Linked DNA regions of Saccharomyces cerevisiae S288C. The gene in region 1 interacts genetically with each later gene. Each region holds a gene or a part of one and is shown on either strand. Other genes may lie near its edges. The genes, in order: VBA5, PUT3, IMH1 and YDR042C.

Region 1 (7,975 bases):
GCAAAAATAACAGAAACTTGCGTTAACATTGAATTTCAAACTCAGTTTTCCATAATTAACTGTTAAAAAAGGCTACTATAAGGGTGTCAATTACTGTTCTGTTTCGCAGGATTAATTCCGTTATGTGCTCTTGTAATTGAGTTAGCGCTTCTTATATCTCTTCAGTAATGCAGCAGTAATAAAACACATTGGCTTCGCTTTCGCTTTTTTTCCAAATCATTATCGAAGATTCTTTGCTTATGATATACTGGTGCTCGAGGATGATGAGAGGACACAACTTTTTGAGGCTTATCGTTATCGTCTGAGTCACAACAACATACATTAACTGTCCACGATTCAGGGATGTGCTATGAGTTCAACTTTCGCTGTAGTGCTGCCATTGGCGCTGCTACTGGTGTCTGGAAAAACTCCACAGCTTTCAATGGAGATGTGACTGCACGAGTGAGACATTATCTGTATTAGCTTCACAACCATACTCTGTTAGTAAGGAGCCATAGTCGACATCTGTCAACAATCCTAGGAGTTCCAGCTCAATCGGGTATGATATTATCTCTGATATCCCCAAAATACATGGCTGTATCATTTAAAATAAGTGATATATTGAAGAACAGTATATTTCAGCCTGTACAGGATCCTACTCTTTCAACAAAAATGATTTCATCAAAATTAAATCACGCTGCAACATTGGTGAAGAATCTCAAAAGGTTAGTAACGTCAATATATCGCGGAGGTAGCTATCATTGTGGCAGCTAATTTAAAGGATATACAGTTAATTCAACAAGATTTTCAAGTCCATTTCTTTTGGGCACGCTGAACACGCTCAATGTAGTACTTGTTTTGGAAATCACTCGCAGCAAGTTTAATGGGACGAATTATATCAGTAATGTGTAAATTCCGACACAATGTTCGGTTAGTAGATTTACTGCTGGATTATTGGGTTCACCCGTAGACTGTTGCCGACTCCAAGAAAACTATGATCTCAATACAGGCATAAAGAATTGTTGTATCTGTGCCCATGTGATCTGTACCTTTTTTGCGGTACCAAAATCGCATGTTGCACTCACACTACGGAACACATCAACTTGTAACGACAACAATACAAAATACCAGGAGACATATCACTTTTTTTCGCTTAGAATGATTTACAATGGCATACACTTAGAAAAGTGCTATGACATGACGCCCTTACTAGAAGTTACATGATATTCTTTTTTTTCTTTCTTTCTTTCTTTTTCGGTACAACATAATTAATGCATTCATACAGAGCGCATTTCCAGCATCATTTATTGGATAGTAACTCCTCCCGCACTTTTAATATCAATGACGCTGACTCTTTTACTGACGCTGAGTCTTTACCGACGCTGAGTTTTTACCGACGCTTGTGAAAATAAAAAGTACGACACAGCTATATGCGTCGCAAGTTCAAATGTGGGTCTATCGAGCATGTTTATCCTATCCTGTTATGTCATTTTTATCGGAAGTAATAAAAATGTAGAAATCACTTGTTTTTGCCTTTTTTGTGATTTTGCTTTCATTTTTTTTTTGCCCTTTTTTCACCAGCTTGGGGATCAACATCCTGATTTCTTGTTACTTCGATTATGTCTAAAAAGTGCCTTGATTTGAGAGAAAATATTTTCCTCATCTGGCAAGACAACCAAACCATCTTCAGTGAATTCTTCGTGTGTCGCCTTGTCTATTAGTTCCGGGTTTCTCATGAACATTGTAAACGTAAAGAACGGTACCGTACATGCCAAGCCAACCGTCATTATTATTCGTTGAACATATCTGTAAGATTCAACCACAGCATCTCTTTCCGGTGAGCCCCAAGGATAATCACTAATGAATGTATAAGGTGATGCATATGCTATTTCTGCCAATGTATCGTTTCCAAGGTTCTTGTAGAGTTGGTTAGGCATGGTTTGTGTCCATATGGCACCAGAAACGGAGGCACCGATAGCAGCGCCTAGCTTTGAAAAGGTATACTGAATGCCGGTTATTACAGCCATCCTACTATGCGTAGTCATGGCTTGCAGTATGACGATCACTGAATTGCTGCATAGGAGACCGCTCAAACCCATGATAACAGATGCAGCGATAACACCTTCATGAGACCCAGATCCTCCTCTGTATTTGTAAAAAAGGCCCATGCACACCATCCATGCAGCACAACCTCCGATTACAGAAAGTTTCAGTTTCCTTGTCTTTGCCACCAACAAACTGTAGAATGGAGATGCAGTAGCAGCAACAAAGTCAGGAAGGTTTACTATCCGAGCAGCCGAAGTGGACGATTCTTTCATCGATACCAGCAAAACAGGATACAGATAGTCGCACGAAATGAAAAAGGTGAAAAAATTGAAAAAAGTAACACCAAGGGGTGCCCAAATTCCACGATCACTTAGTAATTTGAACGGTAGAAGAGGAGATTTGGCAAATTTGGCCTCCCAATATAAAAAAATGAAAAATAAACAGCCACCTGAAACTAAAGTGGCAATTATTTTTGAATTGTGCCACTTTTGTGATGTCTCATTAGCCAACGTCAAAGGAACAAGAATACACCCTAGCGACACAGTTATTAATAATATGCCAACAATATCGAGTTTCCAGAATAGAAACACCAAATTCTCAAATAATCCGCCCGTTCTTTCCTTTCTAGCCTGTTCTTTGAGAGATCTCCACTCAGCAGTCTTTGAAGATTTGTACTTCATATAAAGAATAAGAAATATAATTGGCAAGGTAGAGAGTGGGTAAATAAAAGCCCACATTGCAATATTCCAGGACCAGTTTTTCTGAGGATTTGCTGCTGTGATAATATTGCCTGAAATCCATGGTATTATGATATATGGCCAATATGAGGCGTACTGGTAAAACATTCTCCATTTCAAGGAGGAGAAATCTGAGAGTATTAATGTCAGGAGCAGATTTGTTCCGACGTATCCACAGTTATAGAAAACCGATCCTGCTGCATACATGGTGAGACGGGTCGCCTGTGATTGAATGATGGTTCCCATTATATAAAAAATAGTTGCAACTAAAAAAAGCCTTAGTCTTCCGAAGTGGTCAGAGAGTCTAGAGTAGACAACTTGGGATCCGACACTCACAACAGCATTGATAACTTGGACAGTTGAAAGTAAGGAGTGTTCTGAATATGAGTTCGTTGCATAGCCCGTATAGGTCGATCTAAGTGTGTAGTCTAAACTAATTCCAAACCCACATACAAACGCGGTACTTATCAGTAGAATTTTATATTTCAAGGAATCAAACTGTGCAGACATAATTTCGTTTTCTTTGAGCTTAAAAAAGGTCGATGTCATAGAGTACGTGTCATCGTTTGAGTGACGTTCTCGCTCAATAATCTCACAGGACTGCCTAATTCCACTTTTTTTATTACTTGAGGCACCAACAACACTAGAACTCATCCGATAATTTATTTACTTGATTATTCTTTTTTTTTTTTTTCTCGTTCCAGTCCATAAAACTATTTTACTTTTCTTATTTATGTAAATAGTATTTAAGATTCTACGGTCGCTACATCTGCTAGAAATGGAATTACTTTAATACATTCCATGTTCTCATATATATTTTACTGACACATTTTGTCACTATTTTTTTTTTAACTTTTTTTTGGAAGTACTAAAATTATATGCTCGTAATTATTGAGTATCAAAAAAAAATAAAAAAAATTGCTGTGACGCCCCTTCAATGTGGTGTCTATACACCTGGTGACTTTAACTTTAACTTTGACCTGTCGTCGTACAATCAACTTACTTTCCGAAAATCCACAACGAACCAGTTATACCGAAGACTTTTGTACGACAAGAATACTGTACCGTCGAAACTATCTCTTTTCAAACTAATGAGTGAAGCTTGTGTTTATGTCTGTTGAAACAAGGAAAAAAATGCGGTGCCTGTCGACAGGATATGAGCACAAGTGCAAAATCATCAAAAAATTGAGTACCTAGATCCGGTGGTGTAGGACGAGCAAAGTTCCTTCATAAACAAACCGTAAGGGTTACTGATACACAATTTCCTTTGTGTAAAGAGTATTTGAGCAAATTAGTCGGCGATTGAAAGCAACACCCTTTTTTCTATATATAGTAGGTGAAAGTTAACATGCGAGTAAAAGTAGTGCCACATTTCCTTTGCAGCAGGTGCAAATTAGTACATATTTAACAGATAGCGCCGCACCTCATATGCAGCGCGTACATGATACGAGTCGACAAAATATGCAAAAGATAATAGTGTCATCACACCTTTATGAGAAGCGAATTTTTTTTTTTTTTGGTTTAAATATATATATACATATATATAGATGTATTCTAGTTATACTCATACCTAGAACTGATCAGACCAGATCATACCTGGTATAGAGCTTAATCGATAGAAATTCAAAAATATGGAGGAAACTAAGTACTCTTCGCAGCAGGAGATAGAAGGAGCATGTGGTTCAGACGCTTCATTGAATGCTAGAGGTAGCAATGATTCTCCAATGGGACTTTCCTTGTACCTCTGCCTGGCTTCGTTAACTCTTGTACTATTCATAACTGCACTGGATATTTTGATAGTGGGAACTATTATTGACGTGGTCGCAGAACAGTTCGGAAACTACTCCAAAACAGGTTGGCTCGTTACAGGCTACAGTTTACCAAATGCTATTCTGAGTCTCATTTGGGGAAGATTCGCATCTATCATAGGTTTCCAGCATAGTCTCATTTTAGCAATACTTATTTTTGAAGCCGGATCCCTAATTGCTGCCCTTGCCTCTTCAATGAATATGCTCATTTTCGGTAGAGTTGTTGCTGGTGTTGGGGGAAGCGGACTCCAAACGCTTTGCTTTGTTATTGGTTGTACGATGGTTGGTGAAAGGTCACGTCCATTGGTGATTTCCATCCTAAGTTGTGCATTTGCTGTAGCTGCTATCGTTGGTCCTATAATCGGAGGTGCCTTTACAACCCATGTTACCTGGAGGTGGTGCTTCTATATCAATCTTCCTATCGGTGGTCTTGCCATTATTATGTTTTTACTCACCTATAAGGCCGAGAATAAGGGTATACTTCAACAAATTAAAGATGCTATAGGAACAATCTCGAGCTTTACTTTTAGTAAGTTCAGACACCAAGTTAATTTTAAAAGACTTATGAATGGCATAATCTTCAAGTTTGACTTCTTTGGTTTTGCCCTCTGCTCTGCAGGGCTGGTCCTTTTCCTACTGGGGCTAACCTTTGGTGGTAATAAATATAGTTGGAACTCTGGCCAAGTCATCACATATTTGGTTTTGGGTGTCTTACTTTTTATTTTTTCATTGGTGTACGATTTCTTCCTATTCGATAAATTCAACCCGGAACCTGATAATATATCCTACAGGCCTCTCCTTCTAAGAAGATTGGTAGCAAAACCAGCCATAATAATAGTAAACATGGTAACATTTCTATTATGTACCGGTTACAATGGGCAAATGATATACTCTGTCCAGTTTTTCCAACTTATATTTGCGTCGAGTGCATGGAAAGCCGGTCTTCACTTGATACCAATCGTTATTACCAACGTTATTGCGGCCATTGCAAGTGGTGTGATTACCAAAAAGCTCGGTTTAGTTAAACCACTCTTAATATTTGGAGGCGTTCTTGGGGTAATTGGAGCAGGGCTTATGACACTTATGACAAATACGTCCACGAAGTCAACTCAAATTGGTGTTTTGCTATTACCGGGGTTTTCCCTTGGATTTGCTCTACAAGCATCGCTCATGAGTGCACAGCTTCAAATTACCAAAGATCGTCCAGAAGCTGCTATGGACTTTATTGAAGTAACAGCTTTCAATACATTCATGAAGTCATTAGGTACAACTCTTGGTGGTGTGCTTTCAACCACTGTTTTTTCCGCCTCCTTTCACAATAAAGTATCACGAGCTCATCTAGAGCCTTACGAAGGAAAAACGGTTGATGACATGATTTTGTATCGTCTTCAAAACTACGACGGTTCTCATTCGACTATTGGAAACATTTTAAGCGACTCCATTAAGAACGTATTTTGGATGGATCTAGGGTTTTATGCCTTAGGATTTTTGTTTTGTAGTTTTTCATCCAATAAGAAATTAATCATACCAAAAAAGGACGATACACCAGAAGATAATTTAGAAGACAAGTAGCGCAGTTATTTTCTTATTTTCATTTTATTTTTTTTCGCCTTTTATACAGACTTCAACACAATCAGAATCAAATAGGTGTATCGCAATGGAATGTAATTTCTTAAGTATTCTATATGTACTTAAAACCTATTAATATATGGATCAGTAGTTCATAAAATTCATGCTGGTGCGTTCAAAGATGTGTCTTTAGTAAGAAATCTGGAAAATTCGCGAGCCTGAATATACTCATCGCAGTGCAAGAAAAAGGTTGTCTTCTTTTCTTTTCTTGACAAAAATGCAGCGATAACCTGTAAAGAGAATCTCAAATAGACACATGATAGCAGCTGCGTAATAACAGACCTCAACCGCAATCACATTAAAGGCGTAAGCAAATTTGGCCAGCAAAATTTTCGTTTGTTCCTCGACATAAATTCTCATCAGAAAAACTGTTTACTGTCAGTGCTTTTGTCTTTGCCGCCAATACGGCAGAGAATTACATAGTATACTACGATAAACTTCTATAAATTTAAATATAGATAAAAATAGCACGATATGAACCACGGTACTCTCCAATAGTATACTTGCGATAAAATCAGCAGCTAAGTACTGAATAAGCATTTAAATTATGGTATTTTTTTTTTGCTCCTGCTGAATATTCGGGATTCTTAACGAGAGAGTTTCTTTTGTGATGATATAATATTATTTTCTAGTATAAGTAAAACTATCAAAAAAAAGTAATAATAACGTAGCTTGTTTATATACCATAAAATGTACCAGCAAAATTTTGTTTGGCACAGACAGGTTCAAAGGAGTTATTTCTTAAAGTTCTCAAAAAAAGTAGTGGATTAGGACATATAGCCCTGAAAAGTTAAAAGCGACTTCCTGAATGCCTTCTAATTACACACAAATATATGACGTAAGCAGATCGTATACTTCGTAGCTAGAACTGGAATGAATAAAAATAGGAAATTCTAGTTGTCTTATCTTTTATTATCGAATGAGACTTTAGCCAACTCGAAAAGGTTTTCGAACTCGCCACTCTGCCTACAGAGGCGGTAAAAAATGGTATTTCGATCAGATATTAGAGTGTATGGATGATCATACTCCTTGACTCTGCCCATTTCCATCACCAGAATTTTGTCATAATCTATTACTGACCTTAATCGATGAGCAATAGTCAAAATTGTTGTATTTTTCATTGTTTCTCTTATAGTTTTCTGAATTTTAGCATCAGAAATATAATCTATTGAGGCGGTTGCTTCGTCAATTAGCATTATATTACGTGCACCAAGCATGGATCGTGCCAAGCACAAAAGTTGTCTTTGCCCTTGAGATAAGTTTGAACCACCTGATTTCACAACAGTATTCAAATCAATGAATCTATTTCTTAGTTTATGACTAGAAAAATTAGGCTGCTCTTGCTCAAAAATCAAGCACAATTCATCGCATTCTTCAATTAATCCCACTTTGGATAGTACGCCATAAATTTGTACATCAGAATACCGATCGAAAGGATCTAAATTAGATCGAACAGTTCCATCAAATAAAGTAGGATCCTGTGGGATGCAGCTTATAGAATTTCTTAAACGCTCTAAAGGGATATGTTTTATGTCTTTGTTATCAATAGTAATCGTACCGTTTTCCCAGTCTGAAAGCCGGTAAATAGCCGCTATAATAGAAGATTTCCCAGCCCCTGTTCTACCAACAATACCAACTTTTGTTCCTGCTTTTACCTTGAATGATACATTATCTAGTGCCTTAGAGGAATGAGGAGAATAGCGCAATGATAAGTTTTTTAGTTCAACATCTCCTGTTTGAGGCCAATTAGCTGGAGGTGATATGTAGCCGTTTGAT
Region 2 (9,040 bases), 250 kb from region 1:
GTTCTCCGGGACGTTGAATGACCTTAAATTCTCAATGTGTTCTTTTACAATGGCAATTTCGCCCTCATTATACTTAGATCCAAGGATAGTAGCTTCATCTGCAGTCTCTTGAAATTCATCACCTTGCGTATCATACCAAATTAAAGGAATTTTTGTATCGTCATCATCCTCAGATGGCGTAGCATCGACGGTCGGTAGGTCTATCAAAAGTCTGTTCGCGACCGTTGCATCGGCCAATAGTTTCCCATTATACATTGAGTGCGATGGAAATTCCATAATTTTTTGATTCATCCTGTATTGAACGTTAAGAAATTTTACCATATCCCTTTTCGGGAATATTTTGATTATTCTGTCAAATAGTGTGGTTTCCAAATTGTGAATGACATTTTTGTCGTCTTCTGTTTTGATTGTGGGTGGCAATTGTTTATTGTCACCAGCAAGGACTAGTTTGTGGAACTGATTTTGATGTGCAATTAGTGGGATCCAGCATTGTGGTTCCATGGCCTGTGAGACTTCATCGATGATCAAGGTATCGAAAAGCTGGAAATTTGGATCATCTCTATAAAGGGAGCATAGTTCTCTCGATGATGAACCGTGTAAAGTGGTGACGACTATTCTCGATTGTATTATTAAGTCCTTAATGGTTTTGAACTCTCTTTTCTTTAAATCTTTGCGCAGCAGTTTAATTTCGTTCCAGTTTTCTTTACGTTGCTTATAGTTTTTTAGTTTTTTATTCTCCTGAATTAATTTGTCAATCTCCTGGGAAATGTCCTTCACAATAGTATTCTTTTTACTAAGTATATCAAGAGAGTGTCTTTTATTAGAGTCTAATAGCCTAGCAGGATGACCGATTCTTAATAATAAATTATTCGGCACAAGAGGCGTTAGCCTCTCCAGAATCGTATCCACAGAAATATTGGAAGGCCCACAAATTAAGATTCTCTCCTCAGGATTTTTAATTAGCAATTGCTGGATCAATTCAATTAATGTGAATGTTTTACCCGTACCAGGAGGACCATGTATAATGGTCAAGTCATTGTTAATGGCAAAATTAATGGCAGTTTTCTGGGAGTCATTCAGATTCGGGTTTAAAAAAGATTTAATGTTTTGAAAGCTGTTTGTATTGGGGATGAAGGGGCGTTCGTTTACCAAGTATTGTATAATTTTGTCTTGTATGGGTGAACTAATTTCAGACAGTTTTCTCATTGTGGATTCCATTCTATTATACGTGACGACATTGGTAGTCTTTAAAATGTAAAGTTTGCTATAAGAATAAAATGTGGTAGCAATAACATCTTGAGATTCTTCTAGAGCTATGGTGATTTGAGTATCACTCATTTTGTAGACAACGCCTGAGCATTCCGCTTGCTCGCCATTGGAGTCTTCAGACACCTTTTTGACTTTGGGCTTAGTCTTGGTATTTACTTTGGTTTTTGCAGGGCGTACCAAAACAATATCACCAACCTTAATATCACCCCTTTGAATTTTGTCGTTAACCGCCAAGTTAGGTCCCAGTTCCATATATAATTTGCCAATGAGACCGGATCTTATGTTTTCTAGATGTATGTTGTTTATTGCCAAGCCATTTTGCACCAATTGTTGGATAGATAGCGTTGTTAATAGCCTAGAAGTTGTTTGAATGTCTTGTTCACGTTCATGCTTGATGCTTGATAAAAACTTAGAAGCCAATTCTTTGTTCATTTCCCTCTACTCTTTTTTCTATATTTCTCAAGAGACAACTTTACATCAGCCTTCATATTTTTGAAATATATGTAACGTACAAGATTTTCTTAGCGTAAGGATATGCAGGCGCACATTTGTGTATATATGACAGTAAGAATGTTTAATTATAATATTTGCCAGTTATATAAACCTGTGAAAAAAATAATAGAATATGGTGCGTAATATATAGAGGTAAAGGGTACTACATCACATTCAAATTGCCGAATCTGTCCTTGTAACCAGGTACGTCCCATTTACCCTTCTTGACCATCTCTTCTACCTTAGCATCAATTTCAGGTTTGATCTTTGTCAGGTCGTCAACAGTTAATTCATCGAAAGGTCTTGCAGATTGAATATTATCTAAGGTGCTTTGCAAATCCTTTAACTCCTTGGAAACTAAGGATTCTGTCTCCTTGGCGTTGGTCATTGCGTGCTTTTCAAAAGACTCAATCACTTGTAATTGTTTGGAGGCATCGATTTTGACCGGCTTATATTGCTTAACGTATGATTCTATCTTGTCAATGACTGAAGTGTTTTTCAACACAGATCTATAATGACTGAAATCTACTTCGGTGGGTTGACTTTGCAGCTCTAGTAATTGTCTACGTGCCTCATCGTTTCTCTTTTTAAAACTCGATAATTGAGTGGCAGTCGACCCTGTTATACGTAGAGAAGAGATGACTTTTGCCCAGTCAAGTTTGTTAGCAGCGGATTTGGCCAAAGACATAGTCGAACAAAAATATAATTAGGTGATTCTGCAATTAAGTGCACGAAAAATTTCTTTTAAATCCTAAGATTGTTCTTTTGCGTTACGTGTCAATATGAATATATAAACTTATATAGAAAAGTATTGTACTAGTAGAAATATGTTTTACACCTACGCTAAGCAGCAAGTGGTAATTGGTGTATCTTTTACTTTTTTGGGGGCATCAAGACAAATATCCAATCAAATCGAAGAGAAAATAATTCTTGTAACCCGCTCATTAGTCACGTGGTCATCACGTGAGCATAATATATCACGTGATATACACCCATACCTCGTTTATGGGATTGAGTCATCGGATATGTCATTATAAACGATATTTCTCCGCGGCAATGAGGTGGCGAATATTGGAGTAAAAATGAAAACATCCACCAGGTGCTTGATGATATACTTGACTTCGGCGGCAATTTAAAGCTTTCTAAGCAGCAATTAGTAAGTAACCATTACAATAACGATAAATACGACACTGGTCCAACTAACTCATTGATAGGATAATTGCAGTGATCTTAACGAGTTTAATGGTGACCGACCAAGGCAGTAGGCATTCGATACAATCTAAGCAACCAGCCTACGTTAATAAACAACCGCAAAAAAGGCAGCAGAGATCTTCTGTCGCATGCCTTTCTTGTAGGAAACGTCATATAAAATGTCCTGGTGGTAACCCTTGCCAAAAATGTGTTACGAGCAATGCCATATGTGAGTACTTGGAGCCGTCAAAAAAAATTGTTGTGTCGACAAAGTATCTGCAACAACTGCAAAAAGACTTGAATGATAAAACTGAAGAGAATAACCGCCTGAAAGCTTTGCTCTTGGAGAGACCAGTGAGTGTACGTGGTAAGGATAACAGCGATGATGACGAGAGGCATATAAACAATGCACCCTCAAGTGACACATTGGAAGTATCCAGCGCTCCGGCGGCTCCTATATTTGACCTCATGTCCAATAGTAACACTGCGTCCGATAACGATAACGACGATGACAACAGCAACAGAATCACAAATAATAGGAGCTATGATCATAGTTTGGAAAAATACTACAAAAAGGCCATCAGCATCTTTAAACAACCAGCTAATGCTAATGGCGAAAATGGCAACGGTGCCAATGGTCATGAGGATGATGATGAAGATGATGAAGAAATATCAACAAATTTTGCTCAAAGAAGTGGTAGGCTCATAGAATCTCACAATGGATTCCATTATTTTGTTGGATCTTCTTCAATGACATTATTTGGGTTAGAAATTCAATCTTTGGTTACAAAGTATATTTCGGTCAAGAATTTTCGACCTTTGCCAATAAACACCAAAAACAAGATTTTAAATTCAAACCTGAACCCGGCTATAAGTTCTTTTATCAATTCAAACAACTATCTTTTCTCGTCCTATAATTTTTTGAACCCTATATCGACTATTGTCAACTTAAACTCAATCAACGATAATTTATCTCCATTGATGTTTAAGATAATTTTGAAAAGCGATACGGATGGTAGTAGTGGCCAGGAAGAGGTAATACAGTTTCAGTTGCCTTCGTATAATTACACAAAACTATTAATTGACTGCTTTATAAATTATAACGATGGTTGTTTTTACTTTTTCAACGAAGGCCTGGTTAAATGTGGCATTAACAAATTGTACTTGGAAAATAAATGGCTATACTATGATAATACCAAAAAAGCTTTGGACAATGAGAATGATCCAATTTTACAAGCTGTTTGGTTTTGCAAAATTTTGTTAATTTTAGCAGTAGGTGAAATGTATCTGGGTTCCATCAATAATGAAATGTTGAAGAATTATTCTAATCAGCCAAAATTGCCCGGTTCAAAATTTTTTCAAATGGGTTCTAAAATTTTTAATTGTTTGTTCTCAAGTGAAAGATTAGAAAATGTGACTAAGAAAGGCGGTATTGAAGTCCTGTTGTTATACGCGTTCTTCTTACAGGTGGCTGATTACACTTTAGCCTCTTATTTTTACTTCGGTCAAGCCCTAAGGACGTGCTTAATTCTAGGCTTACATGTTGATTCTCAAAGCGACACTCTATCCAGGTATGAAATCGAGCATCATAGGAGACTTTGGTGGACAGTTTACATGTTTGAACGAATGCTTAGCTCAAAAGCTGGGTTACCATTAAGTTTCACTGATTATACAATCTCTACAGCACTGCCAGCGGATATTGATGATGAAACTATCGAAGAGAAAAATAGTCACTATGTTTTCAGAAAGGCAGAATTGATTTCTAACTGCGTTACTATTGTGAAAATCAATGCACAAATTTTGAGCAAATTATATCAAAGGCAACCTGAGACAAACATCATAATTACTTTGAAAGTTGTCATCAAGCAGTTGTTGGAATGGAGGAACAATTTGTCCGATTCCTTACAGGTGGATTTTACGCAAAAGGATGAAGATTTCAAAATATCGAGATTGTCAACCAATATGTTTACGGAATATTTTCAAGGAATAAACTTGGCCGTGAGACCTTTATTATTTCATTTTGCATCCATTCAATTGAAAAGGTTCAAAACGAGCAATACTTTCGTCAACTTACAAAACTATTCTGCCACAATATCTTCCTTATTAACATGTTCTTTGCATGCTTCTGTGAATACTATTAGGTCTCTGTGGAGTTTATTACAGAATAGTATGCTTGCTATGTTTAGTTATATGGACAGAGAGTATCTTTTTACTTCTTCTTGTACTTTATTACTATTCAACACTGCTTTTGGTATTCATGAACAAACACTATATCATTTGGATCATTCTCTGGAAATTTTCACACAAATGAGAAACTTAGGCAACATTCCAGCAGGCTTAAGAAGAGCACAATTATTAACATTAATGGCAAATTTGGATTTCCACGGCATAATGAATGACTTGATTACTAAATATAACGATATTTTGAAATTTGATTCTATGAATTGTGAAAACGATAACATAGTAGAAGATAGCAATGAACCCAAAAGAGAAACCGAAAAGTGTAAACCTCACAAAGATGGCGATCGCATTGACCCTTCAATTATAGACTGTGATAAATCAAACACCAATACAAATATGATCAAGAACGAATCTATATCGAACATTGTTAGCATACTTCCGGAAGGCGCGAAACCAACGCTGACTGATTATAGTAATGGTAATAATGATGTTAATGATATTAACGTCAATAACTCGGAACCTTCTACTTTTTTTGATATCATAACTGCGAGCTTGGAAAATTCATACCAAACCACGCTAACTGAAAAGGGCTCTCAGGTGATGGAAAAAAACATGGATCAGTTGGATTCCGTTCATAATCTAAATGATGACGATTTACAACAATTGTTGGAGGATTTAGGCAATATTGATCATTCCGATGAAAAACTTTGGAAGGAAATCACTGATCAAGCAATGTGGCTGGGAAATACTATGGATCCAACTGCAGCTGCTGGTAGTGAAATTGACTTTACTGATTATTTAGGACCATAACACCATTACAAAGACAAAGAAGAAAATACTGATTTCTTTGTTTTCTTATGCATATATTATACATTTCGCACATTATATAGAAAAGTGGACATTTAATTCTTCAAATCTTATTTAAAATATCTATCACAAGACAGCTCATTTACGTAGCCTCTTGACAACATTGTCGCTATCACCTTCTGTCCATAATATTAGCCTTTTTTGTGATTTGACAAGCTCGTTGTAGCCTAATAGTAGTTTTTCAATTCCGTTTTGTTCTTGGGCTAACCTCAAAGTAGTATTTAATGTACCTCTGTTTTCGTTCCGTAAAGTACCAATGTTGTTCAGTATATCGTCCTGTGGTAGTCTAGATTTGATGTTATTGTTCAAAACCTCGAAAAACGACACAATACCGTTTCTGCTAATTAAATTCAAACCACCATCATCTGCTACCCTTTGGACTTTGTAAAAAATAAAATAGATTAGTTCGCGTAATCTTTCTTTCAAGTATGGCATATTGATCAAGTTTAACAACCATTCAAATACACCTTTCTTCTCTAACATCTTGTAATCTTCATCCGTTTTAATTCCCTTACAAATGGTTGTTAAAACCCAACTCAATTCTCCATAGTATATTTCCATATCAATTTCTTTCTTATTGTCATCTTGTTGTCTCTTATTGTAGGACATCATCACATCAGATACCATAGGGATGTCCCAACTACGTATGGTAGAATTTGATAATACCCAGCGGTATGCCTTCTCATGTAAGGGCGCAGTTGGACTTCCCAATAGATCAACAATTCTAGAGATAGAAAACCAAATTAACGGATTGATAGGATCTTGATTTTGTTGTCTCTGGTATAAAATCCTTTTAATCAACACTTGGTAAATGCTATTATATTTGATTAAATCGCTATCAGATTCTTTTCTTTCATTATCCTTGCTAGTTATTTGCTTTTCAAGATTCATCTGGGCAGTTTTCTTCTCCAAAGAAGAAGCTAAATTTGATAAATGTTCGTAACTTATATTGGCAACGGTATGACAATCGCTTAATGAGCAAATAATAAACTGAAATATTTTGCAATCAAGGAAATTTTCAAATTCATATCTGTATGTTACATTGCCCTCGTCATCTTTGACCATTTTTACCAGCTCTTTGTTATGGATTATTAATAGCAGTAAAAATAATGGATCGTACATATCAACACCAGATCGTTCGGTATCATCGTAGTACTTTTTGACTAGGTCACACCTTGTAGTAGCATCATAATTGTTTGTATTAGAATCGGTATATAATTCAGGGACTTGAGGCCTTTCCAATACGTATCTGTCAATGGACTTTTTGATCATGTTTTTTTGTAGTGTTAGTATCAACCCCTCCCTTTCTTTGGTAATCAGCCTCGTGTCTCCAATGGCTTCCAAGATTTCTTCCTCTTCGTCTTTGATAAATTCCCAAGAAAAAATCATGTTTGTCCATGAAGTAGCGGTGTGAGATTCGATAGTTTCTAGAATTTTCAGTATCAACTTGTCGTTACTGGAAATAGTACCGGAGTAAAAAGTCAATAATTTCTCTTGAACTATTGGCGTCGAATTTACGACCGGGTCGATGCTGAATAAAGAGAATAATATCATTGTGCTTAAGAACTTTCGATACGATGAATCTTCATCATTGTCTTTAATCATTATTGATGAGTAACTGTCATTGCTTAATAAAAGTTGAACCATTCTTTGCGATTGAATTGACTTTTTGCTCACACAAAAAATTAATACAATAACGTATTCAAGAACCTTAATTTGTTTGATCCACTCACTGCCTAGAATAGCCTCTAATTGAGAATTAATGATTTTGACATTCAACTTATTTGGTACCTCTTCAAGTTTTAAGAGCTCAGCCATCGCTCTTAGTAACTCAAAAAAAGAATTGGAGATAACTTTTCTTTCTGAAAGGTACTTTGTAAGGTAAAGAAGAGTTTTATGTAACCATGTTTCTACCCCTGGATAAGTAAAATTATTGTGTGCAGCTATGTATCTTACTGTAGCAGCATGATATTTATGGTCGCTCTGTGATAAAACACATTTCAAAATTTCATTTCGTTTCGTTTCGTCATAGAAATCAATATAAGTGGTAATCATATTTAATATTTCGTCAAAAATCTCACTTTTCGAGGTAGTGTAAGTACTTTTCGCAATTTCATTACCATACTTGGAAATGGTTTCATGCGCAAATGCGCTAAAATCTTTATCCTGCATGTGCTTGAACAAAGCAGCCGTTGTTACAATACTTAGTAAAGGTGAATCCTTGATCCTCCAGATACTTGGTATGAAAGATGGGAAAGAAAAATGTTCCCATCTGTAAAAAGCTTTCAGTACTAGATAATTCAAATCACTAGACACAAAACTATTTATCAGAGAAGTAGTTTCTGAAAGGGATAGCTTACCCATAGGATCAGATGAAGCATCAACACAAACTTTGTTTTCTTCAAAAAATTTAGCCAAAGAGATGTTTACTTCCTTAATTGAAGCAGGATCTTCATTTGCAGCTTTGTTCAGTATATTCTTTACAAGGGATATTTTTATAGTTTTTCCTTCGTTGAATAATTTTTGGAGAATGTTTCTTGTGGACTCTAGTTTGGTGCTACACATGAGTAGCGAAGTTAAAGCTGAAGTACTTAAATACTCACTAACACTTGTTAAGAAAGCATTTACATCTTCTTTCTGATACAACTCATTATAGTTGGCATACTCTTCGACATTTTCACCACTAAACACGACTTTTTGAATTATTTCTCGGAATTCCACTAATTGATGGCCTGTTTCAAAGCATACTGCACCGATTAAATTGCACATGAACCTTGATTTTTTCATGAGTAGAGCATTTCTTTTTTCAATGGCCAGTTTTGGTAAAGCGAAATTTATATACCTTTCCAAAACTTTGATAATTGGGAATTCTGTGTCTGTTACCATGTAGCTAGCAATCTTGCCAGTTAACTCACAGGCAGTTGCTTCGAACCAATTGTCATATACAACAGAATCGTCTTCTACCAATAACTGAACTCTAAAAAGGATTCCTGCCGCATCTAATTTGTTCACTGGTAATCTAGAAATATTCATTAGATTT
Region 3 (9,081 bases), on another chromosome or scaffold:
TGAATAACAATGAAACAAATTTACAAACTTCTGGTGAGAAAGCAGGTCCCCCACTAGTAGCAGAAGAAACAATTAAGATATTACCGTTGGAAGAGATAGAAATGATTATTAATGGTATACGTTCGAACATTGCTTCGACTTGGTCCCCCATACCACTGATAACGAAAACATCCGATTACAAGTTGGTATACTATAACAAAGACCTTGATATATACTGTTCAGAATTACCCTTGATTTCTAACTCAATTATGGAATCCGATGACATTTGTGACAGCGAACCAAAATTCCCGCCCAATGATCATCTTGTTAACCTATATACTAGAGATCTGAGGAAAAATGCGAATATTGAGGACAGTTCTACGAGATCGAAGCAATCGGAAAGTGAACAAAATAGATCAAGCCTTCTAATGGAAAAACAGGATTCAAAAGAAACTGATGGAAATAATAACAGTATTAATGATGATGATAATAATAACGAAAATAACAAAAACGAATTCAATGAGGCTGGTCCTTCATCATTAAATTCTTTATCTGCTCCAGATTTAACGCAGAATATTCAATCAAGGGTAGTTGCCCCAAGTCGCTCTTCTATACTGGCCAAGAGTGACATCTTTTATCACTATTCAAGAGATATAAAATTGTGGACAGAATTACAAGACCTAACAGTTTATTATACTAAAACGGCTCACAAGATGTTCCTTAAAGAGAATCGTCTCAATTTCACGAAATACTTTGATTTGATATCAGATTCAATAGTCTTCACACAGTTAGGCTGCAGGCTAATGCAACATGAAATTAAAGCCAAAAGTTGCAGCAAGGAGATTAAGAAGATTTTCAAAGGTCTAATCTCTTCATTGTCAAGGATAAGTATCAATTCTCATTTATATTTCGATTCAGCTTTTCACAGAAAAAAAATGGATACTATGAATGACAAGGATAACGATAATCAGGAAAATAATTGTTCTAGGACGGAAGGGGATGATGGTAAAATTGAAGTAGATAGTGTACATGATCTAGTTTCAGTTCCATTGTCCGGTAAACGTAATGTAAGTACCAGTACAACGGATACATTGACTCCAATGAGATCATCATTCAGTACAGTCAATGAGAACGATATGGAAAATTTCTCAGTCTTAGGTCCAAGAAATAGTGTTAATTCTGTCGTAACACCAAGGACTTCAATACAAAATTCTACTTTGGAAGATTTTTCACCGTCCAACAAAAATTTTAAGTCAGCTAAATCGATTTACGAAATGGTTGATGTGGAATTCTCGAAATTTTTAAGGCATGTTCAGTTACTTTATTTTGTGTTACAGAGCTCAGTCTTCTCAGATGATAATACTTTACCACAGTTGCTCCCAAGATTTTTTAAAGGTTCATTTAGCGGTGGTTCTTGGACAAATCCATTTTCGACTTTTATTACGGATGAATTTGGTAATGCGACAAAGAACAAAGCTGTCACATCTAATGAAGTGACCGCTTCGTCGTCCAAAAATTCCTCAATATCAAGGATTCCACCAAAGATGGCAGATGCTATTGCCTCTGCGTCAGGATATAGCGCTAATTCAGAAACAAATTCCCAAATTGATTTAAAAGCAAGCAGTGCCGCGTCTGGTTCAGTTTTTACACCTTTCAACCGTCCTTCTCATAACAGAACCTTTTCAAGAGCAAGAGTTTCAAAAAGGAAGAAAAAATATCCATTAACTGTAGACACTTTGAATACAATGAAGAAGAAATCCTCGCAAATTTTTGAAAAATTAAATAATGCTACAGGTGAACACTTAAAAATTATAAGTAAACCCAAAAGCAGAATTAGGAATTTGGAAATAAATTCAAGCACATACGAACAAATAAATCAGAATGTTTTACTATTGGAGATACTGGAGAATTTAGATCTGTCAATTTTCATCAATTTGAAAAACCTGATTAAGACACCCAGTATTTTGTTGGATTTGGAAAGCGAGGAATTTTTAGTTCACGCCATGTCTTCGGTCTCCTCAGTACTAACAGAGTTTTTTGATATAAAGCAGGCTTTTCATGACATCGTCATCAGATTAATAATGACAACGCAACAAACGACCTTAGACGACCCGTATTTGTTTTCCTCAATGAGGTCCAATTTCCCTGTCGGACATCATGAACCTTTCAAGAATATCTCTAATACACCTTTGGTCAAGGGCCCCTTCCATAAAAAAAATGAACAATTGGCACTCTCCTTATTTCACGTATTGGTGAGTCAAGATGTGGAGTTCAATAACCTTGAATTTTTAAACAACTCCGACGATTTTAAAGATGCTTGTGAAAAGTATGTCGAGATTTCTAATCTTGCGTGTATTATTGTTGATCAATTGATTGAAGAAAGAGAAAATTTGCTGAACTACGCAGCAAGAATGATGAAGAATAATTTGACTGCAGAACTATTGAAAGGTGAGCAAGAAAAATGGTTTGATATTTATTCCGAGGACTATAGTGATGACGATTCAGAAAATGATGAAGCTATCATCGATGACGAATTAGGATCTGAGGACTATATTGAACGCAAAGCTGCGAACATAGAGAAAAACCTTCCATGGTTTTTAACTTCAGATTATGAAACTAGTCTTGTCTATGACTCAAGAGGAAAAATTCGTGGCGGGACAAAAGAGGCACTGATTGAACATTTAACCAGTCATGAACTTGTTGATGCGGCTTTCAATGTTACAATGTTAATAACTTTCAGAAGTATATTAACCACAAGAGAGTTTTTTTATGCCCTGATTTACAGGTACAACTTGTATCCTCCTGAAGGGCTGAGTTACGATGATTACAATATTTGGATAGAAAAAAAGTCAAACCCGATTAAATGCCGTGTGGTCAACATTATGAGAACATTTTTGACGCAGTATTGGACAAGAAATTATTATGAACCTGGCATACCACTGATTCTAAATTTTGCCAAGATGGTTGTATCGGAGAAAATACCGGGGGCAGAGGATCTTTTGCAAAAGATAAATGAAAAACTGATAAATGAGAATGAGAAAGAACCAGTGGATCCTAAGCAACAAGATTCGGTATCGGCAGTCGTACAGACAACTAAACGTGACAATAAATCACCGATACACATGTCTTCGTCTTCTTTACCATCTTCTGCTTCTTCAGCGTTTTTTAGATTGAAGAAATTGAAGCTCTTGGATATTGACCCATACACATATGCCACACAATTGACTGTACTTGAACATGACTTATACCTCAGGATCACTATGTTTGAATGCTTGGATAGGGCATGGGGTACCAAGTATTGTAATATGGGTGGTTCTCCGAACATTACGAAATTTATAGCTAATGCTAATACGCTAACTAATTTTGTTTCTCATACCATTGTAAAACAGGCAGATGTCAAGACACGTTCAAAATTAACGCAATATTTTGTTACCGTTGCCCAGCATTGTAAAGAGTTGAATAATTTTTCTTCAATGACTGCCATAGTGTCCGCTTTGTATTCCTCCCCAATCTACCGACTGAAAAAGACATGGGATTTAGTTTCCACTGAGTCGAAGGACCTTCTGAAGAACCTAAACAACCTTATGGATTCCAAGAGAAATTTTGTGAAGTATAGAGAGCTGTTGCGATCCGTGACGGACGTTGCATGTGTTCCCTTTTTTGGTGTATACCTATCTGATTTAACATTTACGTTTGTCGGAAACCCAGATTTTCTTCACAATTCAACCAACATAATAAACTTCAGCAAGAGGACTAAAATCGCAAATATAGTGGAGGAAATTATAAGCTTTAAAAGATTCCATTACAAGCTGAAACGATTGGATGATATTCAGACCGTTATAGAAGCGTCTTTGGAAAATGTCCCCCACATTGAAAAGCAGTATCAATTATCACTGCAAGTGGAACCGAGATCAGGAAACACCAAAGGCAGTACGCATGCTTCTTCTGCTAGCGGTACAAAAACTGCAAAATTCCTAAGTGAATTTACAGATGATAAAAATGGCAATTTTTTGAAGCTAGGTAAGAAAAAACCTCCTTCTAGGTTATTTCGATAAAAGTTTATACAATTTGCTAATCAAGAAGAACCTTAGCTTTATGTTTGATTGCTACACTCTATTATTTAAGATGGCTGCTTTTACTTAATATTCTTCGTGATAATACTGTACTGGTGGAGTGTTTTTCGTTTTCGAGGATTTGAGAGTACGCTTCATTTGCAGTTCTTCTTGATAAAGTTCGTTTTATATATATATATCTATTTTATATCTTTATATATTTTATTACACCCAGTTAAGTTATCGATCCAAGATTTTAAATGCCCGATTAGAGGAAACTTATTACCTGAAAAAATATCAATTAGTGATTCTATGAAAAGCTATTACCCGCATTCTCATAGTTCGGATTTTCAGATCCAGCAATATAAGAGAACCAAATGTAGCAGAAACGTCAAATAGTAAGCAACAGGAGTTACATTTGAGGTGATTTTAACTTAGGGAAACATTTGCTGATTCAATGTTCAAACAGCTGTCACAAATTGGTAAGAATCTTACCGATGAATTAGCGAAGGGCTTAGCCGATGATATGAGCCCTACCCCGTCAGAACAACAAATCGAAGATGATAAGAGTGGCTTGCCAAAAGAAATACAAGCTAAATTAAGAAAATTTGAGAAATATGAACAAAAATACCCTTTGCTACTCTCCGCATACAAAAATGAAAAATTAAAGTCAGAGAAGTTAGAGGCTGTTGAAAAGATTTTAGCGGAAAATACACCCATATCTAATATTGACGACGCAGTGGATACGTTGCCAGCTTTTTTCCAGGATTTAAACAACAAAAATAACCTATTGAATGATGAGATCAAGAGATTAACTAAGCAGAACTCGGAAATTCCAGAAAGCGCCTCTAGTGAAACTCTGAAGGATAAAGAAGAGGAATTTTTGAAAAAAGAGCAAAATTATAAAAATGACATAGACGATCTAAAAAAAAAAATGGAAGCTTTAAACATAGAATTGGATACTGTACAAAAAGAAAAAAATGATACTGTTTCAGGTTTGAGAGAAAAAATAGTTGCACTGGAAAATATACTAAAGGAAGAAAGGGAGGCCAAAAAACAGAAAGAAGAAGTATCTATATCCGAACTGAAGGAAGAATTGGCTATAAAGAACCATTCTCTCGAGGACAGTCGAATGAAGATAACCGAATTGGAGCAAAATTTGTCTTCGAAAAGTACTATAATGGAGGAAAAGTCCTCAGAGTTGGCAGAACTAAATATTACTTTAAAAGAGAAAGAGCGCAAGCTGAGTGAATTGGAAAAAAAAATGAAGGAGTTACCGAAGGCGATATCTCATCAAAATGTAGGAAACAATAACAGAAGGAAAAAGAATAGAAACAAGGGAAAGAAAAATAAGGGAGGCATAACTACGGGTGATATCAGTGAAGAGGAAACGGTCGATAACTCAATCAATACTGAAGAATATGATAAGCTTAAAGAAAATTTGCAAGAATTACAAGAAAAATATAAAGATTGTGAAGATTGGAAGCAAAAGTATGAAGATATAGAAGCAGAACTAAAAGATGCTAAAGAATTGGAAAACTCACAGCTCGAAAAATCAGCAAAGGAGCTGGAAACCCTTAACACCGAGTTGATCGATACCAAGAAGTCATTGAAAGAAAAAAATTCGGAGCTAGAGGAGGTGAGAGATATGCTGAGGACTGTAGGCAATGAGCTTGTGGACGCAAAAGATGAGATTAAAGAGTCTTCGAGTAAACAAAATGAAGAAGTGAAAACCGTTAAGCTGGAGCTCGATGATTTACGCCATAAAAATGCAACGATGATCGAGGCCTACGAAGCTAAAAATACTGAGTTGAGAAGTAAGATAGAGTTATTGAGCAAGAAAGTAGAGCATCTGAAGAATTTATGTACAGAAAAGGAGAAAGAGCAGACTACATCGCAGAACAAGGTAGCCAAATTAAATGAGGAGATATCTCAACTTACCTACGAAAAATCAAACATAACAAAGGAGCTTACTTCTTTAAGAACCTCTTATAAACAAAAGGAAAAAACTGTGAGTTACTTGGAGGAACAAGTTAAACAATTTAGTGAGCAAAAGGACGTGGCTGAAAAATCCACAGAACAGCTGAGAAAAGATCATGCTAAAATTTCTAACAGATTAGACTTATTAAAAAAGGAAAATGAGACACTGCATAATGATATCGCAAAGAATTCTAATTCCTACGAGGAGTATTTGAAAGAAAATGGTAAATTATCGGAAAGATTGAATATTTTGCAAGAAAAATACAATACCTTGCAAAATGTAAAAAGTAATTCGAATGAACACATAGATTCTATCAAAAGACAATGTGAGGAACTAAATGTCAAGTTGAAGGAATCTACAAAAAAAATTTTATCTTTAGAAGATGAACTAAATGAATATGCTAATATTGTTCAAGACAAAACCAGAGAAGCTAACACATTGAGAAGGTTAGTTTCGGACAGTCAGACAGATGATTCGAGCAAACAAAAAGAGTTGGAGAATAAATTGGCCTATTTAACGGATGAAAAGAATAAATTGGAAGCAGAATTAGACTTACAAACATCCAGAAAGGCCACTGAATTACAAGAGTGGAAGCATACAGTAACTGAGCTGAAATCGGAAATACACGCTTTAAAGCTTCGTGAAGAGGGACTAAAATCAGAGGTTGACGCATTGAAACATGTTAACAATGACATCAAAAGGAAGACTCAAGCCACTTCAGATGATTCCGATCAGTTGGAACAGATCACATCTAATTTAAAACTCTCATTGTCTAAGGCTGATGAAAAGAATTTTGAGCTACAGTCTGCCAATGAGAAACTTCTGAATTTAAATAACGAACTTAACAAGAAATTTGATCGATTACTAAAAAATTATCGTTCATTGTCCTCTCAATTGAATGCTTTAAAGGAAAGACAATACAGTGACAAGTCAGGAAGAGTTAGTAGGTCTGGTTCTATCGGTACTCTAGCTAACGCGAATATTGATTCCTCACCAGCGAATAACTCTAATCCAACTAAATTAGAGAAGATACGATCATCAAGTTCATTGGAGTTAGACTCTGAGAAAAATGAAAAAATTGCATATATAAAAAATGTTTTGTTGGGATTTTTGGAGCACAAGGAACAACGGAACCAATTACTTCCTGTAATTTCTATGTTGTTACAACTGGACAGTACTGATGAAAAAAGACTGGTTATGTCTCTGAAGTAAAAATGTAGCTGAAAGCAGAAGATACGTATATATTGAAACAGTTTTTTTCTTCCTGAAATATATCAAGAAGTTGCTGCATGTCTATATATAAAATACTAAAGCAATTTCTTTTTAAATTGTAATTTAATTCTTCCTTATTTTCTTCAATTCCCTGAAAATTAGGACAAGAATTCTTTTATGTAATCAATTCCGCCGACACAATGAGAAACTGTTGATTGATCATCACCTATCAACTTATTTATTTTAATGGCAAGATCGACAGTTTTTTCCGTTGAATCGTGTTCTAATATTAATCCGGTTCCTGACTTGTTCCAGTTTATTACATTTTGAAGAATTTCTTGTTCAGTTATGACAGAATCATTGAGAAGGAGGCTCCAATCAAAAGTATCGTGATCCCATAAGACGGCTTGTAAGCCAAATTGCCTTGTTATTGCTCTTACTCTATTATCTATTCCGCCATATGGAGGTCTGAACCATTTGGGGGTATGGTTGCCAGTAGCATTCATCGCCCAGATGGACCATTCAATTTGAGCTATAATTTTTTCATTCGATACATTTGGCAAATATACGTGAGACCAGGTATGTGAGCCGATTAAGTGTCCCTCCTTTTGCATTCTTTGATAGATATCTGGATGTTGAACTATATTGACACCTAAATTGAAGAAGGTGGAATTATGCTTCAACCGGTCCAATAATTTAGTAGTGGAAGCAGAAGGACCATCGTCAAATGTCTGGGAAAGTTTGGAACATGTGTACACATCATCGTGTTCGGTGCAGTGATGGCAATCGAAAGAGCACGAGTCCCTTGGAACACTGTCGCAATGGTTTTGATCATATTCCTTATAATCTGGAATTTGACTGAAATCAATGAAATCTAAAGGTATATAAGGTGGATCTAACCCAGGCCATTCTTTTAACCCGGTAAATGCACTAAGCCAATCCGGAAAAGGCGTTTTTGTAGCTGCCCTTTCCAATACAGGAAATTGAAAGTCTATCTGCTTTAAATCTTCCCTATTAGCTTCCGCGTGAACAAATTGCCCCAGACAGGAAAGTGCAATAATACATTGCAAATCAATTGTATTTAGTTGTATTCTCATTTTCAATTGCCGATCCGTAGAAATAATAACAACTCTTTTGCAGTTTGTTTACCCACTGTGGGTTTTTGATAAATAATAGAGGATTACTGAAGGAGAGAGAATATTTTAAATGGATTTTGATAATACTACAAAAGAATAGCCAGTAATTTTTGCGTTGCGTCACAAAATCAAATATCTAGTTTGTTCCCTGACGCATGTTTCTCATGTGTTACCCGTCCTTTTGTAACCTTCACTGCTACAGCCGTACTATGTGGCATTTATGGGTTAATAGAAAGTTCCATTAATCCGACATTAAAATTGGATGGATTAATGGAGAACACAAAGGCAAAAAAACAATGGAAGAACAAAGAAAATTTAGCGGAAGTAAAAATAACAGCCGAAAGCCAAATTCAGGCTTATCTTGCCTACTCTTTCTTTTATCGAATTCCTTTAGGCCGTTGCAATAGAAAAGTAATAAAAACGCATATACGTAAGTTGTAGTCAGTGTAATTGCAATCTATTATGCGCATCAGGTGCGCATACTACATCCATTGGTGCACAAAAAAAGGAACGCAGACAAGAAAATTATTCAGTTTGCTGTTCGTGATGAGCCATCCCTGAATATGACTAATGTTAATGTTCAATTTGGGATCTTATTTTTTTTTGTGCAGTAATAAGAATCTTTGAAAAAAAACTATATAAGCCTATATAGTTTGTAAGATATAAGACAAAACACACCTGCTTTTCCACTACACATTTTCGTTATTATATAAAAAAGACA
Region 4 (6,788 bases), on another chromosome or scaffold:
CGGCCGCTGGGCTCAATTGACCATAAACAACGGAGACATTAACACCACCTTTTTCGAAAGTTGTACCGTCTTGGATAACCATAGAGGTACCACCACCACCATCGTTACCACGGGTCCAAGTATCAGCGTGGAACTTAACAGTATCGATGGATTCCAAACCTTGCGTGATTTCAGCTTGTTTGCGACGGATAAGAGCTTCCATTTGTTGTCTAATTGGAAGATTCCTTGGATCTTGAGGGGCAGGCATCTTTATGTGTATTTAATTGTGTTCGAAGAGTTCGGTTTGCTATGTTTGATTTGCGAAAAGAAAGCTTTTGATATGCTCAAAAAAAGAAAACCCGGAGAATAAAAGCTTAACAAAGAAAGACAATAGGTGGAAAAAAAAAGGAAAATCCGTGTCCTTATATAGCCTTTCGAAACGAGAACAATGGGCAAAGCAAGCTTTATCTTCGGATCGTCCGTCAGCGCTTTGGTTGCAGTCTTATGCTTTGTTCAAGCTGGAGCGTTATTGGTGGGAGAACCAGAAAAGGCGAAAGCGTAGCGTTCTTTGAAATTTGGCTTCTGTTCCTGCGACTCGTTTAAAAGTAGAAGGGCCCGCGGAGCCGCTGTGAAAGATTTCTTTTACTCTTTCAGCGCAGAAATCTCGCAGGAGCTCAGCAGAAAGTGCCTATGACGGTAATCCCAGGGGCTAATGGTGTGAAGGCACTTTCTAAACAATTGAAATTAAAATACCGTGCCTATAGTAACTTTTTTTTACGCTGTGAACCGTTCAACACACAGTAAAAACTCCGCAGGAAATGGTTTGAAGAATCTTAATCACGAATTAGGCGTATTGTTTTTCCCAACAGTGAACGAGAGGACAAACTCCAGAGGATTTGCGGGCTTGATGATAAAATGTATTGTTGAAAAGATCGCGAATGCAACAATTACGGTGGGGAGAAATATCAACAAAAGGGCAAGGCTATGCCTTCTGGAAAGTGGCAGACTTGCACTTTCCTCGAAAAGAAAAATGACCGCAAGATCCGGTTGTTCTCAACCTTCTACATTAAGACATACTTCTACGATTTTCGAATGCCGAAGCAACTATCGCTGAAATTTGTCATGTCAAAATTGCTACTGGGGGAGAAGAATATATATGGAAGTAATTATTATTTACGTTGCTGAAATGGCAGGTTAGACGCATGTTTTGCAAAATAAGTGGTTTTGAAAAGAATTGATACTAGGAATCGGTGCAATACCTTCTACCTTTCTTAATAGGTATTCTTGAATAATCTACCTCACTTTCTGTCCCAGATACGAGATGTCGAGCGCCTCGAAAATAGATATCGTTTATTACGTTAGATACGGAAAGGTCTACGTGTCATAATAAATTGCATCTGGATTGCGATTTTGGGTCATGCCTAACTGGGAAAATATTTACATCTCCATGTTCTCATTCTGCCTTTGCTTTCCTTCAAAACATGGTTTTCAATTCAACCTAGGGTCTACCGCGGAACCATATGTACGCCGTAAATGCGAGTGTTCTTGAAAGGTAGTAATGTGTTCCCTCTCAATATGTAAGTCCTTCAAGAGTATGCACTTGCAGTTGCACTGTTTCGGGTAATTATCCGTCATTAAGAAAAAGATGCTTCCACTTTCTCGTGTTTTTACGCACAATCGTGCCATTTAACCGGAAATAGACTCCATTGCATTGATTGCTCTCATAAAAATTATAGCCCGCGTTTGATACTTGTTTAAAATAGGTGTCGACAAAGTTAGTTTCTGTCTTCCATTTAGTTTTTACAATATGACACGTCAAATAAATCTTTTCGATTTAGTTAAAAGAGTTACCTGGCGATAGCCTTCTGGTAAAACACCTATTCATAAAACAATCTTAAAAAACCAAAAAATTACCAAACAACTATGTAGGACATATTTTTACAGTTCATAAAAACGCTTCGAGCTGCCGATATCGGTATCAAACACCAAAATATACATAGTGCTGGTTTAAGCCAGAATATCTTGGTGAAGCTGCGCCTATATGCCTTGTATTTAAAACAAGTCACGAAAAGCTATTGCCAAAGGAACATAAAAACTCGTATCTATGTTATATTATAAAAAAGATATAATATTTATATATTATTATTAATATTATTTTTTAGTTCCGAAAGGAGAAACTTATAATTTTTATATCATTATTTATTATTATTTTTAATTTCAACTCCTTTTATACCTATTACTGCATGTGGAGAAAAGATTAAACCAGGCGAGGCAATTTACACTTATTCATTGAGATAAGATGAAAGAGCCACGCCTCGTTACATTTAGGCTACATCATATAACAACTAGTCCCAGCCTCCCCCCTTCCCCACCTTGGAGTACTTTTCTCCAGAAATAGAAAGCTAAGAATCAAAATCGCACCATTACGTATGAGCTCATTTGCCGTCTTTTCCCCGACAATCCGGCACAAAATCTGGCTACCCGTCGTATGTATGGTAGACGATATTATGTACTCTAGTAATGCTATGTACGAATAGTTTCAGACGGGCACAGGGACCTAGAACGCCAAGCGCAAAAAAAAGCTGATAGGAATTCGACGTCACGAACCCTTGGAGTAAAAGAAAACTAAAATATACGAACTTCGCGGAAAATAAAAAACTTTTCCTTCAGTTGTTCCTCGTTCGAAACAGTAATCTACACGGACCGTTGCTTATTTTTAGCCAGATTCTAGTTAAATAAAAAAAAAAGAAATAAAATTAAAAAAAAATTAAACTGTGGCAGATAAGCCTTTCTAATCGAGGCAGTGTGTTTCTTTTGACTTCACCGTTTGTCTTCGCATAGTTCCCCTAAATATTCTAACTAGAAAAATCGCTAGTATTTTTCTACTTATAAGTTGATTTTCCGCATATTTGTCTTTGAAACGTTTGAGACAGGGAAAACTCTGTTTTCTAAAAGAGGAAAAAGCAAAATGAAGTATTGGCTTGGTTGCGGTCAACACCCTCAGGGAAAGCCAAGAAATGCTTTTTACTGTTTAGCAGTGAAAAGGCCGCACCGGAAAAGAAGGGAAAAATTCATTGGGTCTAGATTTTTCTTATCGGTAAAAGACTATGGCCTCTTGAGGACCCTTAAGCGTGAAACGAAACGCGTTGAGCGCGCAGAGGGGCTTCGCCGCCGGTCAGGGTGTTTGGGGTGTTTTTTCTTTTAATTATTCTCTTGGCAGTGTCATCTTTCTACAGTCTGGCTGCAGGCTCCTTTTCCGTTATTCATATATAAGGAAGAGAACTTTCCAAACCCAAATTAAAAAAAATTTGGTTCCCATCTCTTAACTAAAAGAAATTATATTACTCCACCTCGTTTACAGTTTTTTGATGCTATAAGGGAATTCTGCAGCTTTTGAAAGTAAAAATCATATCGTATACGATTCTGCAAAGTATTATTGTACTGTAATTCCTACCATTACGGCGCCTTTTTCTACCATTCACCTTTCTTGGATTGTTCCTCTCGACCAGCATATTACTACCCTTCGCAAACTTTCAGGCAATGTTTTACCCATATAACTATAGTAACCTCAATGTTTCTACTATGCCCGCACTGCCGGGAATCTCCGCATTTGATGGAATGCAAGATGAAGAAAACGTTGAAATAAGCCCGGAAAGAAAATATCAGACGCTACTACCAGTTCTAACTAATTCTCATGTGGTAGAGAATGAACTAAAACACAAATTAAATAAGACTGCTTTTGATTTCCGATACCAAACCAAATCAGAAAATGGCTCTGAAAAGTGGGAGCCAAAATACTTAATAACGCCTAATTTACAAACAAGAAGCGTCTCTTTTGACAATTCATCGGTACAATATAATTCAGATTCATCCGAAAAAAGCTCGCTATCACAACTAACTTGTAATTCATCAATAATACAACAGCCTGAGAACGGAATAGTTTCTAATGATGCATATAATAAGATGGCAAATAGTAGATACTCTCTGAAAACGCGGAAGCAAAGAACAGATCCAAGAAATACGTTATCAGATGAGGAAGACCTTGAACAAAGGCGCAAATACATTTGCAAAATTTGCGCAAGAGGATTCACTACATCGGGTCATTTAGCAAGGCATAATAGAATTCATACGGGCGAAAAAAATCATTGTTGTCCGTATAAGGGATGCACGCAGCGATTCAGTCGACATGATAATTGCTTGCAACACTATAGAACACATTTGAAAAAGGGACAATAATTGACGGTATACCCGTGTTTTTCTCATTAGCAGTACTACTATTCCGCACTTTACATCATTTTTTATAAACTCATGCATACATACATTGTACTTCAAAAGATTTTTTTTTTTTTTTGGCATCATAAATCACTTTCAGATCAGTTTCCTTTCAAACGCGCGGCATTAAGAAAACTTTTAATGTCAAAAAAACGGAAGCAAAAACCCCTCCCTTCCGCTTAAGATCATGTCTGGACATTTTAGTTGTAAGGCTGCGCCTCGGTAGCAAGTAGTGCTGCAACAAGGCTATTATGCCACCTAAACAGACCACTTTTGCTTAATACGAGACTGTGACTACCTCCTGACTTCCTGTCATAACAAAAAAACAGACGTCGCTGCATTAACATTTACAACCCCAAACCTTCTTCATTCATTGCTTTTCTTTTAGAAACTGTGGCTTTTTGACATTTGCAGTTTGCATAGTTACTTTTTGATCACTAACAACGATATATTATCGTTGAACAATTTACTACGCAAAACAGTTCACGTGATGTACGTCAGATAATTCACTGAAGGTACTACCTTTCGAGCATCTCTTACAGCAATGGTAACAGCTCATTGAAGAAGAAAAAAATAAGACAAATTTTTTTAGAGCTGCAAGCGTTTTACTAGGCATCAGAACTGTCTCCGAACAATAGTATAGTTAATTATTATACTTCAACCCTAGAAGAAATACCCGAAGATGTAAGGATGTTTTTGTTCCTATAAGCTTTTTTTTTTCACAAAATTTTCATCCACTCTACGTCTTCCATACGGTCATATAAAAGGTGCCATATCCTCGGCCAAGACAAAAGGCTTCAGCTCCATATCTTTTGAAATCATGTAAACGCATGGGGCTCAAGTACTGAGCAAAGTAGGAGAAAGGATATTGAACATGTTCAGAAGAACGTGGTATCTTTTTCCTTATTATACATTCTCTTGGCGAGTGATCGAAAATATATATGATGATATCCTATAACAACAACAACATGAATTTCTTCGTCCGAATCCTTTATAGGTGGAAACAAACTTTGACAATAGCTTTTTAACACTGATAATATATTTTCGCGTCATTCTTGCTGATTTTCTTTTTTCTTATTCTTATTGTGCTTCATCCTCCATCTTCAATGGCGGTAACGTAAATCAGAGTAGCTTTCATTTTCTTTATTTCTGTTTCTGTTTCGCGTCGGGATAACAAAGCGTACTTACTAATGGCTATTATTTTTGCTAATGACACAAAATCCTGTTACCAATTTCCAAGAAGAAAGGCGGATAACAGGGAAAAATTTGAATCTGTGTATCTGCAGTACAAATATTATATATTGGAAGAACACGCACTTATATCTTCTTCATGTTTGTCATTTTATTAGAAACTTTACTATTGAAAATAGCGAATCAACAACAGCTAACAAACGACTAGGTCTCTAAGAGAAAAAATCTTTTTCTTTTCACAACATGGAGCAAATATTATATAATCAAAGCCTTAAAATTTCTACCCTTTCTACTTTTCAAGGTTTAAAGTTTCTAAAGGTCCTCATTTTTTCTATTTTCCAACAACTATTTTATAACCCAGTTATACAATTATTCGGAACGAAAGCCTCAATAATGGAATCTGATTCCACTACTCTGCTCGAAAGTAGTTGGAGTACTGAGCGAAACTTTCTCAATATGAATTCAGATTCCATATCTGCTACCAAGAATGTTTTTATATTATTTTTTACCATTTTCAGATTAGCGGAGTATATTGTATACAAACTCTCTGACCAGAAGTATCGGTTACACACATCCCTGAATGTCCAACATTTCAGGTGGAATTCGAAGAAGAATACAAACAGAAAAAGGACACTTTCCTTTAGCAAAGCTTACTTACCAAGAACAAATATACTACCGATTTTTGTAGCCGATGGACTAAAAAATAGATTCTCAGGCCCGCTACCTGGTAAGTCCTTGGAAAGCTTCCAGAAACTAAATTTATTGAGCGATAACAATATTAAGCGGTATGCAGTACCAGGAAACAAAGCAGTGAACACACTTTTATGGCAAGAGCAATACTCATAACGGGCCGCAATATTAGTACAAAATTGTTCATCATATAGTTAAAAAATATAATTAAACTTACTTATAAATTCAGTATAACCATTTAATCTACTACTTTTTGCCCCTCTTCTTCACCTATTTTATTTACAAGTACGAAATCTTTTCGGTCCCAAGAACCAGCGTAATTATAGGATTGCCATCATCTTTTTACTTCTTTTCCAAATGTTTTTTAAAATCGGGGCTATCCAATAGTTCCAATACTTTTTGTCCGACAGCACTAGTTTGAGCTTTATCATCGTTTCTCAGAGAATACAATTCATCGATATTGCTTAGTGATTTTTCGAGGCCATTGGCGTCCGAACCCAAGTCCAGCGATATTTCGGACCTTTGAAAGAAGTTACATTTCATTCCGACGCCTGCCATAGAGTGCTTCGTAATGTAAGCTATCAACATCTGTAGCACTTCGGGGTTCGTATCCCAGGCCCTAATGAGCCTCTTATGTGTATGTCTTTCAAAATTCT

The links.
Region 2: mutations in VBA5 (region 1) and PUT3 together harm fitness more than expected from each alone (negative genetic interaction), as found in Saccharomyces cerevisiae (one large-scale study listed by BioGRID).
Region 3: mutations in VBA5 (region 1) and IMH1 together harm fitness more than expected from each alone (negative genetic interaction), as found in Saccharomyces cerevisiae (one large-scale study listed by BioGRID).
Region 4: mutations in VBA5 (region 1) and YDR042C together harm fitness more than expected from each alone (negative genetic interaction), as found in Saccharomyces cerevisiae (one large-scale study listed by BioGRID).

What each region holds. Positions count from the first base shown.
Region 1 is NC_001143.9:656,883-664,857, reverse strand, and holds VBA5 (basic amino acid transporter), read left to right. Parts: upstream 1-4,393; coding exon 4,394-6,142; downstream 6,143-7,975. Other genes in the region: GEX2 (glutathione exchanger), read right to left, coding at 1,569-3,416; YKR104W (uncharacterized protein), read right to left, coding at 7,102-7,975. UniProt on the Saccharomyces cerevisiae protein: Transporter required for vacuolar uptake of basic amino acids.
Region 2 is NC_001143.9:405,541-414,580, forward strand, and holds PUT3 (Put3p), read left to right. Parts: upstream 1-3,003; coding exon 3,004-5,943; downstream 5,944-9,040. Other genes in the region: ATP-dependent 5'-3' DNA helicase HCS1, read right to left, coding at 1-1,701; ATP7 (F1F0 ATP synthase subunit d), read right to left, coding at 1,925-2,449; URB1 (Urb1p), read right to left, coding at 6,079-9,040.
Region 3 is NC_001144.5:747,177-756,257, reverse strand, and holds IMH1 (Imh1p), read left to right. Parts: upstream 1-4,488; coding exon 4,489-7,224; downstream 7,225-9,081. Other genes in the region: Ras family guanine nucleotide exchange factor CDC25, read left to right, coding at 1-4,034; chitin deacetylase CDA2, read right to left, coding at 7,383-8,321. UniProt on the Saccharomyces cerevisiae protein: Involved in vesicular transport between an endosomal compartment and the Golgi apparatus.
Region 4 is NC_001136.10:540,101-546,888, reverse strand, and holds YDR042C (uncharacterized protein), read left to right. Parts: upstream 1-5,685; coding exon 5,686-6,288; downstream 6,289-6,788. Other genes in the region: HEM13 (coproporphyrinogen oxidase), read right to left, coding at 1-247; transcriptional regulator NRG1, read left to right, coding at 3,520-4,215; mitochondrial 37S ribosomal protein uS10m RSM10, read right to left, coding at 6,475-6,788.